5 linked regions of the Canis lupus familiaris genome follow. The protein of the gene in region 4 interacts with the protein of the main gene of each other region in a pairwise test. Links are inferred from orthologs where the notes say so. Each region holds a gene or a part of one and is shown on either strand. Other genes may lie near its edges.

Region 1 (4,320 bases), on a different chromosome or scaffold from region 4:
CTTATTTCTCTCAGGGTCAGACTTTCATCAGGATAGCCTGGTTGTGATTTTTGCCTTCGTTTCCACTTCAGGGCTGTCTAGCACATTGTTTAACAGGGGTGTTGGCTAATTACTATTGGTTCCTTCATGGGAGACTCCCAGAGCTACCTTAATTTTTCTGGACTCGTTCCCATGCACAGTAATGGGAGGCCTATGAGAAAGGGGAGTGTTTCCTTTCATTTTCTCTCTTCTCTCTCCTTCCTCTCCCCCTTTGATCCCACCTTAGGTACAGAATCTCCTCTGGGGCCTCCTCCTCCTTTCCTCTCTCATCCTCTTTGTGAGTGGGGTGGTGGTCTCTGAGCCAATGACAGGTCAGCCAAGAGGCTGACTCCAGACCAATGAGGCTTCCGGGTTCCAGATGGACCAATTAGCTTATTAGGGACATTATACCTGGATGGCTGGCATCTGTCCTATTGTCCTGTTTAACGACCCTCTTGTTTTGCCCATCAAGGATTTGGATGTGCAGATGAGACTCTACTCTCTTTTGTTTTTCTAAAATTTTGGTGGCTTTAATCCATCTCCACAACTTCTGCCCAAGGCCAATAAAACACAGGCATTCTCCCTTTGTAAAAAGAAAGAGGGGTTGGGTTTCCTTCAATTGTCTGCCCTTTTATGTGTCCTCCACTATTTTTGTTTTACTTGGTAGTTAACTTTGCACCGGAGCGGCTTCATCTGAGAACCAGTGCGGTGGACCTAGGCACTCTCTTGTCGTTGCTGGTGGCGATGGCCTTTTCCTTGTTCTAACCTGGTGGCTTGTGCGATCAGAGGGTTGGCGGGTGGGAAAAGAGTTTGGCCATAGTCTTCCTTCTGCATTTCGTACACATTCTGCGCTCTCTCTCTCTCTCTGTCTTTCGCTCACACACACATACACACACGCGCTCGCACACACACGCCCGCTCGAGCCCCTCGGTGTGTCTTCCTTCAAGATGACAGGGCGCTGGAGAAAAAGCTGCTGGAATCAGCTGGTAGGTACCGTAGTAACCCGAACCCCACCCACCCGCTGCCTTGGCTTGCTCAGGTTTCTCCGGTCACTCCAGCCAGGGGAGAAAACCTGTAAACGCGCCTCCACAGGAGGGGCTGGGGGAGCTGGGAGCGGCGGGGGTGGAGGAAGGTGAGACCGGGAAGGTGGTCAAGCGCCCCTGGTACCCGGGGCCCTTCGCAGTGTTACCTCGGGGCGCCAGCCCCAGCCCTGTTTGCCCCCCACCCCCCTTTTCGTAGGGATTGCCTTTTTTTTTTTTTTTTCCTCTGCGGCGGCGGAAATGACAGTGTGGTGCTGCCGTGGTGTCATGGTGCTGCCCCTGGACGAAAGGGCTAAAACTCTTTAAGTTCGTCTCTGGAGACCCAGCTGCGGTAGCGTCGCGGCTGCCGTGCTGTCTCTCGCGGGGCGCGCGGGCGGGCGGATCCCGGCTGCTGCGCGGCGGCGGCGGCGGCGGCGAAGGCGGGCGGCGGCCTAGAGAGGCGGCGGCGGCCCGGGAGCTCGCGCCGGAGCCCGAGCCAGCTCCCAGCGGAGGCAGGCGAGCGCCCGGCGCCCTCGGGCGCGCCAAGGAGATGGCTGGCACCCGGGAACGCTATGGGTAAAACGCGCCCCCTCGCCACGGCCCCGAGAGCCGAGGGGCACCGCCCGCACTCGGCTCGACCCGGGCTCCGGTTCCGGCCGCCTCTCAGGTGCCATTGGGGCCCGGCACGGGGCCCAGGGCCCCGGGGCTCGGCGGGGCGGCGTGACGGGGCACCGCGAGGCTCGAGGTGGCGGTGTCGGCGGTGGGGGCCCCGGCCTGGCCTGGGTGCCCGTCGCTGCCCTCTTGGGACGGAGTTTGCACTCCGGGGTGTGGGGCGGGGGCGGCCCGAGGCCTCCAGCGCCCCGACTCGCCTGGCGCGGGCAGTCGAGCGGCTGCCCCGGTGCCTGTGCGTGAGTCTGGGAAAGGGCACCGCCGCCTTCCCACGCTCCCGCGGCCGATAGCCTTCTTGACACGGGCGGCGCCCCTCGACCGGCCCTCCACGCGGCAGTGGCTGCTGCAGCAGCCAGGGATGCTGCGGACACCCTGCCGGCGGGGAGGCCAGATGAAACTTACTCCCTTTTCTGCCAGGGGAGCGATTCCCGGGTCTCCGTCTGGGTGGTTCCTTATTTCTGGCCTAGCCTTGAAACCAGCTCAGTGGGAGAGAGGGAAAACTTCTCTATGTCCAGAGGACAGACTGCGACCGTACCGGGGAGAGGTAGGGTTTTTCCATTCCTGCCTCTTAAGAATGGAGTAAATAACGGCGGACTAGATTTACAGAAACAGTTTCGGTAATGATGAGCTTTAGGCCACTTAGCACTTTGTGTGTAGCACATTATTTCTTGGAGGCGTTTTGTGGTTTTGTGGTTGTGTGTGTGTGTGTGTCTGTTTGTTGTTGTTTGATTGTTTTTTTTTTCTTTTTTTTTCTTTATTGGTTCTCCCTCCCACCCAAACCCCACAGAGCAGGAAATTGGGATCCTGGGGTCTTGAGTTTTCTTCACTTTCTCTCTTCCATGCTCCCTTACCCTTCTTCGCAATCACTTGCCCTCTTCCTGCGTTGTCACACACCTACCTGCCCACCCAGGTCTCCCAGCAGAACGCACCGTCCCCCCCAGACTAACCCCCACCAACCTGCGTGCGTGCTCCACCTGCCTCCCAGCCCTCCAGCCTCTTGCTCCTCAACCAATTTGCCTTTTTGAGGATTTCTGAGTGTGGGGTAGGTGCATGGTGATGGTTGTGTGCCTGTGAGGAGGAGCCCTGATACAGGAATATAGTGGAAACTGTATAAAAAGACCAGTCATGTATGTGGTTGATTCCTTGGATTCTCTAGTTGGGCGGCAAGGGCTGCCTTGAACCCTATTCTGTTCCCTCCCAATGCTCTCTAATCACTTCTCTGGTGATGTTCCAATAGAAGGGAAATGCTGAATAATAGGGAGCTTCTCTCTCCTCCTTCTGGCTTGACTCTAGCTGATTACCCCAACCCTCACATGCCCCCTTTTCTCCCCTCTGCAATCCTACTGACTGCCCTAAGGGAGAAACAGTCTGCTATTTTTATATATGCCTGCCCAATCAATTACCTTAATATAGATACATAATGTGAACGAGATTTTTCCTGGTCGTTCCTCACAACTGGATTTCTGTGGTTGAAATATGGGTCTAGGAGTCAGGAAGATCAGAGAGTTTATCCCAAATCTGACATCACATTGGTTTTATGGCCCTAGGACATTCCTATGACCTTTCTTTTATACTTGGTGTACTTGTGTAAAAGGCATAATACTGTATACTGGGCATTTTGAGGCTCTGCTTGGTCTTTTGAAGATGAAAGGGTTCTATAAACTCTCAGCATTACGCTTTTCAAATAAAGCGCTTCATTTACCTTTTTATGGGGATAATAGCTGGACTGGGTGTGAGGAGGAACTCTGGTTTACTGGAAACCCTAACTTACCATCCTTAGCCACCCTCCACCCCAGGAGCCAAATCTATCACCATACTCAGGACTCTGTTGTTTGTTGTTCCTAAAGCATGTACAACTGAATGAAAACATGCATAAAACTAGGCATACGGAGTAATGGTGATTATTTTAAGTTGAAGCTTGAATCATATCTAATGTACTCCAACCTAACAGTCTGAGTCAGACTCATTTGCAAACATAACCTCACCCATTTTTAGCCTGTATGGGGGCAGTTAATTTCTACTGAAAAGCGGCATAAATAATTTTAGGCCTGGCAATAGGAGCATGATTAGCATCTAGCAGCAGTGAGTCAACAATATTTACTGAGCACCTACAGTGTGCAGAGTTCTCTGCTGATGGGGCCAAGTTCCAGGTCTTGGCCTTCATATTTGGCCTCCTCATTTGAGGCCTCCTTCCTTACCTGCAGCACCCGGAGTAGGACAGGGAGGAGCAAGACAGGGGTAGAGGCTAGGGAAAACAAAGGGCTGATTGGCTCCCTCTTTCATGACCACTAGATCTCACCTGGCACGTTGTACCTTGCACGGTCACCCTGGGAAGCCCTGCTACAGGCCCCAGTGACTTAGTTTCCTCATGACTCTATCATCTGAACAGCGCAAATTGAGATGAAATTGGTTTAGTTAATCCCTCCTCGGAGTGCATGGCAACTTGCTCCAACTTGCAGATCTTAAATCGGTGCCAGGGGAGTCTCATAATTGCATCCAAAAATTGCTCTGGGTAGTGAGCCCATCCATTCCCTCATCCTTCCATAAAATCTGCTGATGCCATGACAGTTGAGAAGGAAACTGCAGGAAGACTAGGTCTTTCCCACTCAGCAGA
Region 2 (2,238 bases), on a different chromosome or scaffold from region 4:
GGTGTTTGTGTGCAGGGGGCACCCTCCCTGCGTGCACGCCTGGCCTCGTGGGGCAGGATTCGGGGCGTTTCTACTGTGAGGGCTCCTCCAGGGACCTGCTCCTTAGCAAGGGGCCCTGGCGGCGGAGGCCCTGGGGCGTCAGGCTCCAGCCCTGCAGGGCCCGCCCGGGCTGCCACACACCCGCTGCACCCTGCTCGGCATCCCAGCTGCCCTGTCCCCCGTCCTCTGCGGCAGGAAGGCCTGCGGATCGCCCGGCAGGGACTGCGGTGTAGACACAGATCCAGGGGTGCAGGATGGGCCGTCCCTGCACATGGTCCCTGCGCGCTGGCTTCCGCCACCATTGTCTCCGAGTCCCCCCGCCCCCCCTGCCCCCCAGCGCTGCGTCCAGGGTGGGAGCCTCGGCCAGGGTGTGTCCCACCCGGTGCTGGCCTGCCCTCCGGCCCTCCTGCCCCCACCCCGCCGCATCTACTCCCTGCCGCCCCGGCACATCCCAGGGTCCCGGGCCCTGTGCACCCGCCTGGCTCTGGGGGGCCTCCTGTGCCTGCCCCTTACTGCTTCCCCCCCTTTGCAGCAGTTTCCCTCCAGCCTCCTGTTCAAGGCCACGGGGACCCGTTACAATGCTCTCTTTATTCGATGCAAACACAAGCGATCAATTGGCTTATGGGTTTCCAGGTCTGTGCACGTAAAGAAGCAGCAGGGAAAGGGGCAGAAAAGGTTAATCTGAACTTTCCCGGAAGTGACTTAATACTTGAACGTTTGGATTCGTGGGTACCCATGTGTGACGTCGAGCTTCCCACGTACTCGGGCTCCACCAACCGCTGCGGGGCAGACCCTGTCTCGGCACAAGCAAGTGAGGAACGACACCTGCGCTTCCCAGACAGGAGGGGAGGCCAGAGGGGCTGTTTGCAGAACACCTGTGTGCGGAGGGGCGTGGACGCCCTGCTGGGAGCCGCGCTCCTGCCTCGGCACCAACGTGTGACCCGGGGCACAGGAGCCCCGCTGAAGGTGGTTAGAATGCGGTGTCGGCCCTGACAGCCGGGAGACCCGCCCCCCCTGCCCCCGCCCAGTGCTGTAGCCCTGTTTGCTGAGCTCCCATGGCTCAGCGGGGACCCGGGGACAGCATGCCCTGGCCGTCTGGCGGCAGGCGTGTCAGGCCACCTCCCGACCCTGGGTTTCCTTCGCACGGATGACAAACCCATTTTAGGAAAAGGCAGGCTTCTCACAGGATACGGGGCGAAGCTGCGTCTCTAACTTGGTACTTTGGACAAGGACCCACGTGCGTCCAGAGCCATCCTTTGGGTCCCGGCAGCTGCGTTGTTGGGGGGGGGGGGTGCGCGGCCCTGACCACGGGCGGAGCACACACCCTCCTGAGGATCGTGACCGCGTCGCACGGACCGTCAGCGGAGGATGGGGGCCCCGAGGTCAGCCCCGGGAAAGGGGGTCGGCGTCTCCTCGACAAAGCACGTCAAGCTTCCTAATCAGCTACACGGCGCCAGGGACTCGGCCCCGCTCCGCTTCCTGCGCGGCTGCGCCTCACTCGTGCTCGAAGAACTCGTGGCAGGCGGTGGTGACCATAGCCACGAAGGCCACGAACTCCTGGAAGTCGCACTCGCCGTCTCCGTCACTGTCCAGTGTCTCCATGACCTTGTCCACGACCTCCTGCTCCTTGATCTCCTACGAGAGAGGACAAATTGCGCCGCCGCTTACGATGAGCCGAGGCCCGCGGCGCGTCCCTGACCCTCGGCCACCGCAGCGACGTGTCCGCAGCAGAGAGAATGTTCACGGGGCGGCAGAGGGGCCGGGGCCCCAGCGTCTCCCCCACCGGACGCTCCCAGAAAGGCACCGTGGGACATGCGGGGTATGTGCCCCCGCCGCCCGCCGTCGCCGGGCTCACATCCAGGGGGCCGCGGAGGATGGCGTCATGGACAGAAGCACGGACTTCTGCTTCTCCCCGAGCTCCTCACTGCGTGTGGAAGTCCTTCCCGCAGGTTTCGGGGTTTTTTTGTTTTTGTTTTTGTTTTTGTTTTTTTTATGATAGGCACACAGTGAGAGAGAGAGAGAGAGGCAGAGACACAGGCAGAGGGAGAAGCAGGCTCCATGCACCGGGAGCCCGACGTGGGATTCGATCCTGGGTCTCCAGGATCGCGCCCTGGGCCAAAGGCAGGCGCTAAACCGCTGCGCCACCCAGGGATCCCCAGGTTTCGGGTTTTGAAAGTGTTTTCTCTGCAATGACCCCCG
Region 3 (4,296 bases), on a different chromosome or scaffold from region 4:
CTCCCTCATTTCTGGAAAGAGGACTGGCATTATTGGGAGAACCCGACTTTAGTGCTTCCCCAGGCTCAACGCCTATATCCTCCAAGTCAGGTCCTGGATCACAGAGTCGAGTCCTAAACTAGGGTCCCAGAAGTGGGCCTGCCACAGGCACTCCTTCCTCTGCTTCATTGACTTTGGGTGGATTAGTCTCCCCTCTGAGCCTCAGCTCCCTTTTCTATAAAATAAAGTTTTCAACTGAATGATGGGGGCGGGGTGTGGAGAGGTATCTTTTCCTTAAATCCCTGATGAAGTATGAGTGACATTAGATTATGTAAAGATACTCAACTAGAGGCCAAGATTCAGAGACCTCTTAACCCCCTGGAACTGTGTGCAAGATTGTATATGTGACATGTATGTACACGTGTGTGAACATTTCTATCTGAGCATGTTTTAGGAATAGATCTATTTATCTTTGTGAAGGAGGTCTGTGATCCCAGAAGAGTAGTCACCGACCTAGTTCAGACCTTTTTTTTTTTAAAAAAAAGATTTTATTTATTTATTCATGAGAGACAGAGAGAGGCAGAGGGAGAAGCAGGCTCCCTATGGGGAGCCTGATGGGGAATTTGATCTCAGGACACACACCCCCTCCCCCCACCCCCGCCATCACAACCTGAGCCAAAGGCAGATGCTTAACCACTGAGACACCCAGGTGCCCCTGGTTCAGACCTTCTATCTGAACTATAGATATAGTTCAGACTATATCAAGATCTGATATATATGGGCAGCCCCGGTGGCGCAGCGGTTTAGTGCTGCCTGCAGCTCAGGCAGGGCATGATCCTGGAGACCCTGGATCGAGTCCCACGTCAGGCTCTCTGCATGGAGCCTGCTTCTCCCTCTGCCTGTGTCTCTGCCTCTCCCTCTATGAATAAGTAAAATCTTTTTTAAAAAAAAGATTATATATATATATATATATGACTATAGCAAGAGCCTCCAAACTGGTCTCCCTACTCCTTTGTTCCTTAAACGTGTCCTCCACCTATCACACAGGGTATCATTCCTTTGTTTGAATCTTTCTTTTGGCCTTAGTGGCAAAAAGAAATGCATAGTATTTAAAGACATTCATAATCTTACCCAGCCTGGTCCCCACACTCATATCCTGACACACCCTAATCTATTTCCTCTGTCCTCAGCCCCTCTGTGTACCCTCCTGCCCTGGCTACAGGGAACGTTTCACTGCTTCCTGAATGCATCAAGCACTTTCACATCTCTCTTCCTTTGCAGGAGCTTCCCTGTACTTCATCTGGCAAACCCTCGTGTGTGCTTCAAAATCCAACTCAGGCGTCCCACCCCTTTGTGATGTCTCCCTGACACCTCCTCCAAATGAACCACACCCTCTGTGCTCCAACTCCTGTGCTTAAAGTCACATTTATCCCACTGTACTGTAATTATGTGTTTGAGTGTCTGTCTGCCCAAGCAGATATGAACTTCTCCCAGCAGAGAAACCAAGTTTCTGACTCACGTTTGGAGCCTCAGGACCCAGCACGGGGCATGGCACCACATGTGTACGGGTAATGACTATCTAAAATGAGTCAGTAAGTTAATGAAGGAGTAAGTCAGTGAGTGAACAGACCAAGAAGGAAGAATAGATACACCTGAACCGGTGCGCGTGGGATTGGGTCCCGCCCCGCCCCCAACACATGGAACTACATTTCCCAGAAGACCCCGCGACCTGGGCATGCGCACTGGAGAGCTAGGAAGCTGCGACGCCGAGTTTCACTCTGGCTGCCTCCTCAGAGTCGGAGCTTCAGCCGGAGCGGTGCCCAGGCCGGCCCGAGCTGCAGCCCCAGCGCGGCGGTGCCCTCACCCGGCCCCCTCGTCTTCCTCAGCCTCGGTGAGAGGGGCGGGCGGGCCACCTGCCCGTCGCCAGGGCTGGGGTCCCGGGGACGCGGGGGGGACTGAGCCGAACTGGGACCGGAAGGGGGCGGGCGTGGGACTGAGGGAGGGCCGGGCCGGGCCGGGGAAGAGCCCCGTGGTGAGGTCCGGGGGGACTGGGAGGACCCGCCGCGGGGCTGGCCCGGGGCCGCGGCCGCCGGAGGCGGGAGCTGGGAGAATCGGGCGCGCTGGCAGCTTTGGGACGGGTCTGGGTGCGAGGGTGAGCGCCGGGTGGGAGCCGAAGGGCTGGCAGGGGGAGGGGCGCAGACCCCGGGAGTTCGGGGCCGTGGCGAGGAGGACACCCCTTCCCACAGGGGCGGGCGGAGGCGCTGGAGATCCCGTCACTGGGCTCCGGGGCTCGCGGGGTCGATTCTCCTGGGTTCTGGCTTCGGGCGGACGACTTGCTGCAGCCCGGGGCTGTACTTTTTGAAAGAGTTTGCCCCCAAACTCTGCTTCCCTGCCTCAGGTAGGGGTCGCCCTCCGGGAAACTCCGGTTTCCTGGGGGCCCTGGGTTCCTTTTGAGGGTTGCGTAATGTACGTCGGAGAGGATTTAGACGACTTTTTTTTTATTTTTCTGAACCTGCCCTGTCGCCCACTCCGCTCCCCTCCCCTCCAACCAGCTGCTCCCTTCCACACTGGTTCCACTTCCCTAAGTGCCAGTAACAGTGGAAATAGTGTGTGCACGCACAGGCTCCCGGACCGTTAAGAATTAATTCAAGAATACTTCTGCCTGCTATCCTCTAGAGTTCTAGAAGGTCGACGTTGTGGTAGCCAAAATCGGGCTTTACCCTCACGGTAACTATAACTGGGCCTCTTACTCATTTGCTGCGTGACCTTGGCCAAACTTTTACCTTCTCTGGTGTGTTAATCTCCTGGATTCTTACACTGCAGACTGACTTAGGAAGCCCATTTAGGCCTTTCCGTGAAAGAGCTGAGGTGTGTGTGTGTGTGTGTTTCCACCATCCCCTTGATTATTGAGTGGGTAGAGGGAGACTGTTGTACCTTCTGTCCTGCCCAGGCTGTTGAAAAATAAATCTGGTGGTTTCCAGTCCCCGGCCGCAGCGCACAGACCCAACATCTGTGCATTCGTTTTCACTGACTGCTGTTTCTCAATTTAAAACCTGATCATCTTTTTCCTTGTTGGCAAAGGTGCCCTGGAATTTGTGTTGCTGAGTCAGCAAGGCTTTCCGATTTGCTCGGTTTTTGTTGTTTGCATTTTATATCAAGATGGGAACTCAAACAAGTCATTCCTCCTAAGGATCTAGTGTCTCTGTCAAGAAGGGACAGTTTGTGCCAGCTCTCCAGAGAGAAAAGGTAAGAGTGACAGGGACTTCACATTGCTGCCTTCTGGATCTGGTTTTCAGTAGAGGAGGTGGAGACTGGGGAGGGTGAAATTTGAGGTCTCCCGGATGAAAGTCAGCCTTGGGAGTTGATTGTTGATTGCCAACTGTCTCAAATAAAGTCAAGTGCTTTCTTGCCAAGGGCTTCTTCTGTTAAACCAGGCTTAGAGGATGCTTTACACATGGTTTTCACTTAAGACATGCTTTATGGGGTGAAGGACACAAGTCATGATTTCTGCATCTGAGCTGGAAATTTTATTTCTTTTGTTGCCCGCACAAAACTGGGTGCCTTCTTTGTGTCAAGCCCCATGCTCAATGGTGGGGCACAGTGATGAGTGAGAAGAGCTCTGTCACCTGGGAGCTCATCATTTGGTGGAATGGACTGTCCGTTCCTAGACAGACCCTAGACAGTGGCAAGGAGTTGTTGGTGTGCTATGTGTTGAGGTGGGAGGAATCACAGGGCAGAGCCCCAGCCCCTCGACCAGGGGCTGTCCAGGAAGGGATAGGAGGGAAGGGTCAGCAAGCTTCTAGAAGAACATAATTGAGCTGAGTTGTGAAGGACTTGAAAAGGAGAGCAGAAGCCTGGCAGAGGAGTGGGCATCTGCAGAGTCCAGAAGTTACCTGGTACGCATGGGCCAATGTAAGTAGCTCTATGTGGCTAGAGCAACAGGGATGGGTGTGAGGTGGAGGAGGCTGGTTAGGTAGGCAGAGGGAAAGTGTGGATGGTTTTGTGGGCCGCACTAAGGCTCTGGGAAGCAGGATTTTAGCAGAATTCCATGAGGGCATTTTACATGAGCACACTGGCTAGAAAGTATGAATGGATTAGACTGGATTATTCTCTTTGTGACTGTTTCTTTACACCATGCCAGCTTTTGATAGAGGAAGAGTTAGACATAGATGTTGCCCTCAGTTTCTTCATAGTCTCCTTGAAGAGATAGAATGGACATAGAGAACTGTAAAGGGCAGGCAAGTGCTGTGGAAGTTGAGAAGAGGGTGTTTTCTTTCAGTTGGGCATCTCGAGGCATCATGGAAGTACGTTTAAATT
Region 4 (3,717 bases):
TGTTCTTTCTAAAACCTTTGCTTGATATTATCTCAGTAGTCAGTTCAGCATTTGTGCAACAGTTTCTTACATACATTTACTACAAAAATAGTTCATGTCCACACAATGCACTAAAGCTCACTGATTATTTTTGACGATTTTTAAAAAGATTTATTTATTTATTTATTTGAGACACAGAGAGACAGAGTGAGAGAGAGAGCATGTAAGGAGCCTGATGTGAGACTCTATCCCGGGTCTCCAGGATCAGGCCCTGGGCTAAAGGCAGCGCTAAACCGCTGAGCCACCTGGGCTGCCCATTTTTGACAATTTTTGGCGATTTTAATGTTGTTTTAGTTGTCAGAACCAAGAAAGCCCCCACTTTGTGTTCCAGCACGTGAGCTACATTTTATCAACTATCTGAGTGCTTGCTGTGTACCACCCATTGAGGCCACAGGGTCAAGCAAAGCCAGGAGGGTCTGCCCCTCACGAGGTGCCTAGGTAGGATCACCTTGAGAAGCTAAGGGGGATCCCTGGGTGGCGCAGCGGTTTGGCGCCTGCCTTTGGCCCAGGGCGCGATCCTGGAGACCCAGGATCGAATCCCACATCAGGCTCCCGGTGCATGGAGCCTGCTTCTCCCTCTGCCTGTGTCTCTGCCTCTCTCTCTCTCTCTCTCTCTGTGACTATCATAAATAAATAAAAAAAAAAAAAAAAAAAAAGAGAAGCTAAGGAAGCCATAGGGGTTGGGTTGGAGAAAGGTAATGAAGGATGGCCAGCTGTCCTCGTGAGGGATGCTCACCTTCCAACAAGCCATTCCATGGAAAAGGCACATCAGAAGGTGGTCTCTTCCTTTTTTAAGTCATTTTCAGCATAGGTTTGGAGAAAGTAGTGTTCACCCTATATAATGGCTCTGAACATTCATAATTAATGGCATAAATACCAACTAAAAATCACATATAGAAATTCATAAATTGAATTGCCTTGAATTAGTGCAGTTGAATCTACTAGTAGCAAACTTTGGAAGGTACAATCATTCTTTCATTTTGCTATTTTGAAATACCGAGCAATCAAAAGGTGATAAAAACCTGAAGGTTGAAATCTTAAGTTTTCAGGTTTTTGTTTTTTTTTAAGATTTATTTATTTTACAGAGGGAGAGAGAATGTGAGGGACAGAGGGAGAGGGAGACTCTCCAGAAGACTCCCTCCTGAGCACGGAGCCCACTGTGGAGCTCGACCCCTCAACCCTGAGATCATGACCTGAGCCAAAATCCAGAGTCGGCCACTTAACCGACTGAGCCACACAGGCAGCCCACATTTTCCATTTTCTAAGGAGAATAGTTTTAGCCATTGGAAATAAGGCCAATTAGTAAAACCAAAACCAAAACTCAGAATTATCAAAATGTCTACCTTGGTAAAGATATTTGAAATACTGCTTATAATTATTCCAAATCCTCAAATAAAACTTGACTATATTAAACCATAACTCTTTTAGGAGCTCGGGAAAATTTACATAAAAATATGATGCTTCAAAACCAGCTCTTTGAAAGAAGAGACTAGATCATTTTATCTTTAGATCCTAAGTAGCTAATACAGAGCTTCAATATCGAATGAATATTTGCCATTTTTGTGTGGTCTTGCAGATTTGATGATCAGGTCTTTGTTTTACAGCTTTTGGCTGATGCCATCATTTATGCTCAAAAAAATCGTTCTCGGAAACTTTTCATCTGGCCCAGTGGACCCTATGATGGCTGATGCTATTGATTTTATGGTGGACAGGGTAAGGATTTTGGCATTAGAATGGGAACACTTTGTACTAGGAATCTCCATGTCTCCCTAGTTCTTGATGATAGATCTGTCTCGTTGAGTATGTTAGAGATGTTTGTTAAGCAGTCTTCCATATTTACTTTAATATACCCAACAGATGTTACTCCTGGGAAGTAATTCATCAGAATCACTTGGGAGGAGCTTTTAAAAATACAGATTCCGGGGGCACCTGGCTGGCTCAGTTCGTGGAACGTGTGACTCTTGATCTCAGGATCATGAGTTCAAGCCCCATGTTGGGCATGGAACCTACTTCAAAAAAAAAAAAAAAAAAATACAGATTCCAAGGCCTTGCCAGCCCACTGAACTGGAATCCATGGGCATAGGGTCTGGGAATTTGCATTTTTACTCTCTTCCTCCTCTCTTTCTCCCCCACAAGGGGAACCCAAAGTAGCAGGTCTACAGACTTGCATTTAGGGGCTATGGGGCTAGATGATTTTTCTGAGATCTCTTCCAGCTCCAAAATCTTGTAAAAGTGTTTATCTGTCACTTTGGGGCTTTGGGAAGTAGCCTGCTACCCACGGTTACCCGGTTGCAGAGGCAGTTCAGGGTGAGGGGTATGTAATGCTAGGTTCCCAGAATAGAACACCACCAGCTGGGAGGCCCAGTGCATGGTCTCTCAGATACATTGTATTTCCTCACTGGTGACCCGGCCCACCACACATGATGGCGCCTTTATAAGTGCAGGTATTATCTGTGGATTTAATATAACATGAGGAACAAATTTAATTCAAAAACTTTGCCTGTGTTTCTTCCTGCAGCTGGAAAGTTTGGGTCAGAGTGAACTGGCTTCAAGACTTACCCTGAATTGTCAAAATTCTTATGTGGAACCTCATAAGATTCGAGACATCCCTGTGACCATTATGGATGTAAGCTTCCTTTTAAAAAAAAATAGATGCTTTAGCTTTATAAATGTATATATCAAGAGCTTCCTCATAATTGTTTTATAATTTTTCAGTGTGCCTCTTTAAATGCTGCCTTGTGTTTGTTTTTTGTTTTTTTTTTTAACAACCACCACCACCACAGTTCTAAAACAATCAGTTTATTGCTTACCCCATATTTTCCCTGGCAGGAATAACACCATTGAAATCAGAATAAACATAAACAAACATGGTAATCCTTACCCATTTTGATGGATTTTTCTATTGTCATCACCAAATACTGTACTTTAGCTACTACACATCTGTGCAGCAAAAGTTGCCTCACAGAGGCAGAGAATCAAAAATTCCATAAAGTCTAATTAGCATGAAAGTTTGCTTCTTGTAACAAAACTTACCATTTTAACCATATTCAAGTGTACAGTTCAGAGGAGTTAAGTACATTTATGGTGTTGTGAAACTGTCACCACCATCCATTTCCAGAACTTTGCATCATCCCAAACTGAAAGTCTGTACCCATTAAACACTAGCTTGCCAGTCCCTCCTTCTCCCAGACCCTGGTAACCCACATTGTACTTTCTGCTCTATGTACTGACTATTCTGTGTATCTCATAGAAGTGGAATCACGTAATATTTGTACTTCTGTGTCTGGCTTATTTCACTTAGCAGAATATCTTCAAAGTTTATTCATGTTATAGCATGTATTAAAGGCTGAATAATATTCTGTTGTGTGTATATACCACATTTTATTTATCCATTCACCTGTTTTGTTTTTTTTTAAGATTTTATTTATTTATTCATGAGAGACACAGAGAGAGAGAGGCAGAGACACAGGCAGAAGGAGAAGCAGGCCCCATGCAGGGAGCCCGACATGGGACTTGATCCTGGGTCCCCAGGATCAGGCCCTGGGCCGAAGGTGGCGCTAAACCACTGAACCACCTGGCTGCCCCTGTCCATTCACCTGTTGATGAGCATTTGGGTTTTTCCACCTTTTGGCTCTTGTGAATCATGCTGCTCTGAATGTTGGTATACACATACCTGTT
Region 5 (4,412 bases), on a different chromosome or scaffold from region 4:
TGCCAATTTAAGTGAACTCCTGTACATGTCCCCTTTGCTCATGTTGTATCTTCTTGGAATGTTGTAAAGGAAACTGTTTTCCTTTACACATTCACACAGACATTCTCCACTCCAAATATGTGGCGGTTTTGCCACCAATCAACCCTGTGACATCAGCTGGGTGTCCTACAATTCAATTAAGTTCTGATAATATCTGCCTGGAGGAGGCATCGAATCCACAAATGGAGGGCTCAGTCCCACAAGACTGCATTTTCCCACTCCCTTCAGATGCCAACTGCAGGCCCAGGTCGTTTCCGGTGCTTCTGACCAACGGGCTATGAACCAGAGGTTCCCTGGATCCCTCTTCAGGTTTGATGAATTTGCCAGAGCAGCTCGTAGAACTCAGAAAGAGATTTTACCTAGTAGACTACAAGCTTATTATAAAAGGATACAATTCAGGAACAGCCACATGAAGAAATGCAGGGCAAAGTATAGGGAAAGGGTATGGAGCTTCCCTGCCTCTCCGGGCATGCTACTCTTCCAGCACCTTCATGTGTTCACTAACCCTGAAGCTCTCTGAACCCCCCCAGTTCAGGGATCTTACAGAGGCTTCATTATAATAAGCATGATTGATTAAATCACAGGCCATTAATCCATCTCTCCAGCCCTTCTCCCCCTCCCCCGAGGTCAGAGGGTGGGGCTGAAAGTACCCAACCTCTAACCTTGTGGTTGGTTCCCCTAGCAACCAGCCCCCATCCTCAGGGGCTTTCCAAAAGCCACCTCATTAACATAATCTCAGGTGTGGCTGAAAGGGGTTTATGAATAAGACACTACTTTCAACTTTCTATCTCTGGAGTTATTTTAAGACAAAAGGCCAAATATTATAACAAAAGCCTCTTCCATAGCTCTTATTGGTTAGTAAATTATGAGGGTTTTAAGAGATGTGTGCCAGGAACTAGACGGGTCGCCAAATATAGACAGTTGACCCTTGAACACCACGGGTTGGCACCGCCAAGATCAGCTTATACCTGAATTTTCTAGAGTATAGCAAACGTTATTTCCTTTTCTTCTTGATCTCTTACTAAAGATTCTAATTTTCTAAATTACGTTTTCTTTTATCTAGCCAACGTAAGAATACTTATGCGTTAGTCAACTGCTATTGGTAAACCTTCTGGCCCAGCAGTAGGTTATTAGTAATTAAGTTTTGGGGGAGTCAAAAGTTATATGTGAATTTTCAATGGTGGGGAGGTGGGAGTGGTGCCTCTACCCTTATGTTGTTGAAGAGTCAACTGTATATGTCTTCTTATAACAATATCACACATGACCTTCCTTCTTCCTCTTTCTTGGCCCTTTGGCTTGGACCCTGACAGGTGAAACCTCAGCTCCTGCTGCATCTAGCTCTCTCCCCCATGTATAAAAAATTATGAAACTTAACAGAAGGACCTTCAGAGGCAACACAGTCCTTCAACTCAGGGAGGAAAATGAGGCCCAAAGAAAGTAGTCACGTACTCAGGACCACGCAGTATCTCAGAGGGTCAGTCAGCATTAGACCATATAGATCTACTTCTGCCACAATGTCAAACTACCTGTAGAATTCTACATTTTCTTTTCTTTTCTTTTTTTTTTTGAATTCTACATTTTCTAAAGCAAGCAATGTTAAAGCAAGGTCGCTCACACCCTGCTGTCACCTCTGAACTTGTTCTGGCCACCCAACACTCTTCCTCCTCCTCTCAACTGAACTCCAACTCATCTGTCAAGGCTCAGCTGAAATGTCCTTTCATCCAAGACCCTTTCTAGACCCTCGGAACCCCCAGATGGGAGTAGGTGCTTCTTTATGTTCTCACAGATTCTTTGTAATTCCTTTATACTGAATATTATACGTTATTGTTCAAAAAGACTATTATAACCTATACTCGACAATGATCATTAGGTAGGGACCACACCTGCCTTGAAGACCATCATGCCTCCAGCTCTCAGCACAGAAAAACTAAATGAAAAGCGTGTTGTTACTCTTTACTCATTTCAAGAAGCGACTCCCACTCTTACTCTAAAACCTCTCCCCAGAAGCAGTGAACGAGTCACCACCTTCTTGTAGGCCTTATCACTCAGAAGAAGAGAAAGGAGGCACGAGGGTCAACTCCTTAGCAGAAACGGCAGGGATTGTGGTAGGGCAATGGGAGGGAGGGACAGGAAACCCGAAGGGAAATGGGCCAGGAGGTAAACTGAATGCCCCGGTTCCAAGACCCTTCTGTGCCCAGCCGTGGGGACAGAGAAAACAGGCCCACCGTTGCCCTCCACAAACTACCCACTGAGCCTGCTCTGTGACCTTGGTGTAGTCCAGATGGAGAACCCGAATCTCCCTGCCTGAAAACGAGAATGCCATCCGCTTTCCTTGCTGGAAAGGAAAACCATAAGCTTTAAGAAAGGCTGCACGTGCCAAACGGCAATTACTGTGTCGTGCAGTGACGCGCTGTGTGCCCTCGGGGGGTCGGTCTGCCCTTGCCTGGGCTTCTATTTTCCCTGATCTGTTGCAGGACCCGATCAAAGCGCGTTACCTCACGAGCCTGAGCTGTGCCTCAGTTACCCCGCCCTGCACAGCTGGAATCCCTCAGCCCACCTTTGCCCCACTCGAGCCCTGGGCGAAAGAGAATGTGCCCTCGCCTCCCTCACCTGTTGGGGGCGCGTAGGCCCGGGCAGGGGCCTGGGGGGTTGGCCCCGGCGGCGCCGGGGCGGCGAGGGCACCCCGGGGCTGGGTCAGGAGGCGGCACCCGGCGTCTCGCAGCCGGAGGCAGCTCCTCCACATCGCGCCTGAGAGCCTGGGGGGACGAGAGCAGGAAACAGAGCGAAGGGATCCCCAAGCCGCACGCTGGGGTTGTACGGAAACCTCTCACCACCTCCCCAGAGCCCTCAGCCTCCCCCTGGACGCCGCCATCTTCCGCATGACACCAGCGGCGCGCCGTCGCTCCAGCGCGCCTCCAGCGCACACCCACAGTCAATCAGCATCACAAACGCACCTCGCCCCGCCCCCTCCACGCCGCGCCTCGGGAAGAAGACTACAAGTCCCAGAGGGCCCCTCGCGCGCCCCGCCACGTGTTTTCCCCGCCCGCCAATGGGTGGAAGCGCCGCGTGAGCCTGTTCCCGCCCCCCCGGCGCGCCTGAGCCAATCCAAAGGGTGGTGTGTGTGCGAGGGCAAGTGGGGAGGGGGACTCAGCTCAGGACAGGGAGGCCCTGCTCGCAGGTCCCGGGGTCCCGGTGGCAGCCGGAGCGCTTGGTCCGCAGGCAGCGGGCGGGTGGTCCCCCTCCGCCCCCACCCCGCGCGTGCGCGCCCCGGCCCCTCCCTCCCTGCCACCCCCCTCGGCTCCCGCGCGGCGGCGGCGGCGGTTCCTCTCCCCCTCCCCCCAGCCCTGGCTCCGGGGGACCCCGCGATGCCGGTCCGCACCGAGTGTCCCCCGCCGGCCGGTGCCTCGGCCGCCTCCGCGGCCTCGCTCATCCCGCCGCCGCCCATCAACACCCAGCAGCCCGGCGTGGCCACCAGCCTGCTCTACAGCGGCTCCAAGTTCCGCGGCCACCAGAAGAGCAAGGGGAACTCGTACGACGTAGAGGTGGTGCTGCAGGTGAGCGCCGGGCCGGGCCGGGCCGGGGCCCGAGGGCCTCCTCGCGGCGCTCACGGGCCGTGCCCGCCCCCGGCTCCTCGAGCCCGCAGCCGCGGACCAGGCCCTCGCCGCCGGGCCTCCTGCACCAGGCGCTTCACCCCCCGGGACCTGCCCAGCTGGTGTCTCACACTCTCCAAGCCCAACCCTGACCTGCCCCTCACACCGGAGCCTGTCGTGAGCAGCTCCTGGCAGACCCTGAACACTCTCCCAGACTCGAAGCCCGTGACCGGCCTGCCTGGGATCCGGAAGCCCCCACCCCACCCCACCCCCGTCACTGGCCACCCTCAGACCTCAGTCCTTCTTCCCCAGGACCTGTCGCCCGGAGAGCAGCCCTCCCTTCAGTCCCTCCCACACCCTGAAGAACTCTCCATTGGTCTCTCCTGACTCGGGACCTTACCCTTGGCTGGGCCCGCGTCAAATTATCCCAGACCTGAGACAATCCTCCCCTCCCCTTTGCTCAGTCTCAGGGATCCTCAAACCTTGGGGCCCTCCTCCCAGGATTTATTCCTTGGGAGAGTCTAGGCAGTTCCCTCGGACCTGGGAGCACACTTCCTCCGTTAGCTCCTGAGCTTGAGAGCCCCCAACCCACAACTGATTCCTAGCCTTTGGTACTCCCTCAAAACCAGGCACTCACATTCTGGGTGCTGCTGGGTGGAGTTCCTCCTAGTTTGTTGGGATCTTGCCTCCTGCCCCCCCACCCCCACCCCAGTCTCTTCCTGGCCCAGGTGCCGGCAGCCCCAAGTCCTGCTCTAGGCTTCTCATGGTCCTTACCTCCATTCT

Evidence for each region.
Region 1: the proteins of SPG21 (region 4) and MID2 interact in binary tests that used the Homo sapiens proteins (3 or more experiments, as listed by UniProt). The two-hybrid records come from large-scale screens. The link is inferred for Canis lupus familiaris from reciprocal best matches to the Homo sapiens genes SPG21 and MID2.
Region 2: the proteins of SPG21 (region 4) and S100B interact in binary tests that used the Homo sapiens proteins (3 or more experiments, as listed by UniProt). The two-hybrid records come from large-scale screens. The link is inferred for Canis lupus familiaris from reciprocal best matches to the Homo sapiens genes SPG21 and S100B.
Region 3: the proteins of SPG21 (region 4) and DTX2 interact in binary tests that used the Homo sapiens proteins (3 or more experiments, as listed by UniProt). The two-hybrid records come from large-scale screens. The link is inferred for Canis lupus familiaris from reciprocal best matches to the Homo sapiens genes SPG21 and DTX2.
Region 5: the proteins of SPG21 (region 4) and ATPAF2 interact in binary tests that used the Homo sapiens proteins (3 or more experiments, as listed by UniProt). The two-hybrid records come from large-scale screens. The link is inferred for Canis lupus familiaris from reciprocal best matches to the Homo sapiens genes SPG21 and ATPAF2.

Annotation. Positions count from the first base shown.
Region 1 is NC_049260.1:81,966,740-81,971,059, forward strand, and holds the start of MID2 (probable E3 ubiquitin-protein ligase MID2), read left to right. Parts: upstream 1-1,488; 5' UTR 1,489-1,609; coding exon 1,610-1,613; exon of another isoform or gene 1,614-1,704; intron 1,705-2,228; exon of another isoform or gene 2,229-2,250; intron 2,251-4,320. UniProt on the Homo sapiens protein: E3 ubiquitin ligase that plays a role in microtubule stabilization. Mediates the 'Lys-48'-linked polyubiquitination of LRRK2 to drive its localization to microtubules and its proteasomal degradation in neurons.
Region 2 is NC_049252.1:39,767,454-39,769,691, forward strand, and holds the end of S100B (protein S100-B), read right to left. Parts: intron 1,675-2,238; coding exon 1,534-1,674; 3' UTR 588-1,533; downstream 1-587. UniProt on the Homo sapiens protein: Small zinc- and- and calcium-binding protein that is highly expressed in astrocytes and constitutes one of the most abundant soluble proteins in brain.
Region 3 is NC_049227.1:7,519,466-7,523,761, forward strand, and holds the start of DTX2 (probable E3 ubiquitin-protein ligase DTX2), read left to right. Parts: upstream 1-1,390; 5' UTR 1,391-1,870; intron 1,871-2,012; exon of another isoform or gene 2,013-2,131; intron 2,132-3,060; exon of another isoform or gene 3,061-3,225; intron 3,226-4,296. UniProt on the Homo sapiens protein: Regulator of Notch signaling, a signaling pathway involved in cell-cell communications that regulates a broad spectrum of cell-fate determinations.
Region 4 is NC_049251.1:29,783,864-29,787,580, reverse strand, and holds part of SPG21 (maspardin), read left to right. Parts: intron 1-1,643; coding exon 1,644-1,752; intron 1,753-2,557; coding exon 2,558-2,665; intron 2,666-3,717. UniProt on the Homo sapiens protein: May play a role as a negative regulatory factor in CD4-dependent T-cell activation.
Region 5 is NC_049226.1:41,692,617-41,697,028, reverse strand, and holds the start of ATPAF2 (ATP synthase mitochondrial F1 complex assembly factor 2), read right to left. Parts: upstream 2,919-4,412; 5' UTR 2,783-2,918; coding exon 2,650-2,782; intron 1-2,649. UniProt on the Homo sapiens protein: Plays a role in the assembly of the F1 component of the mitochondrial ATP synthase (ATPase).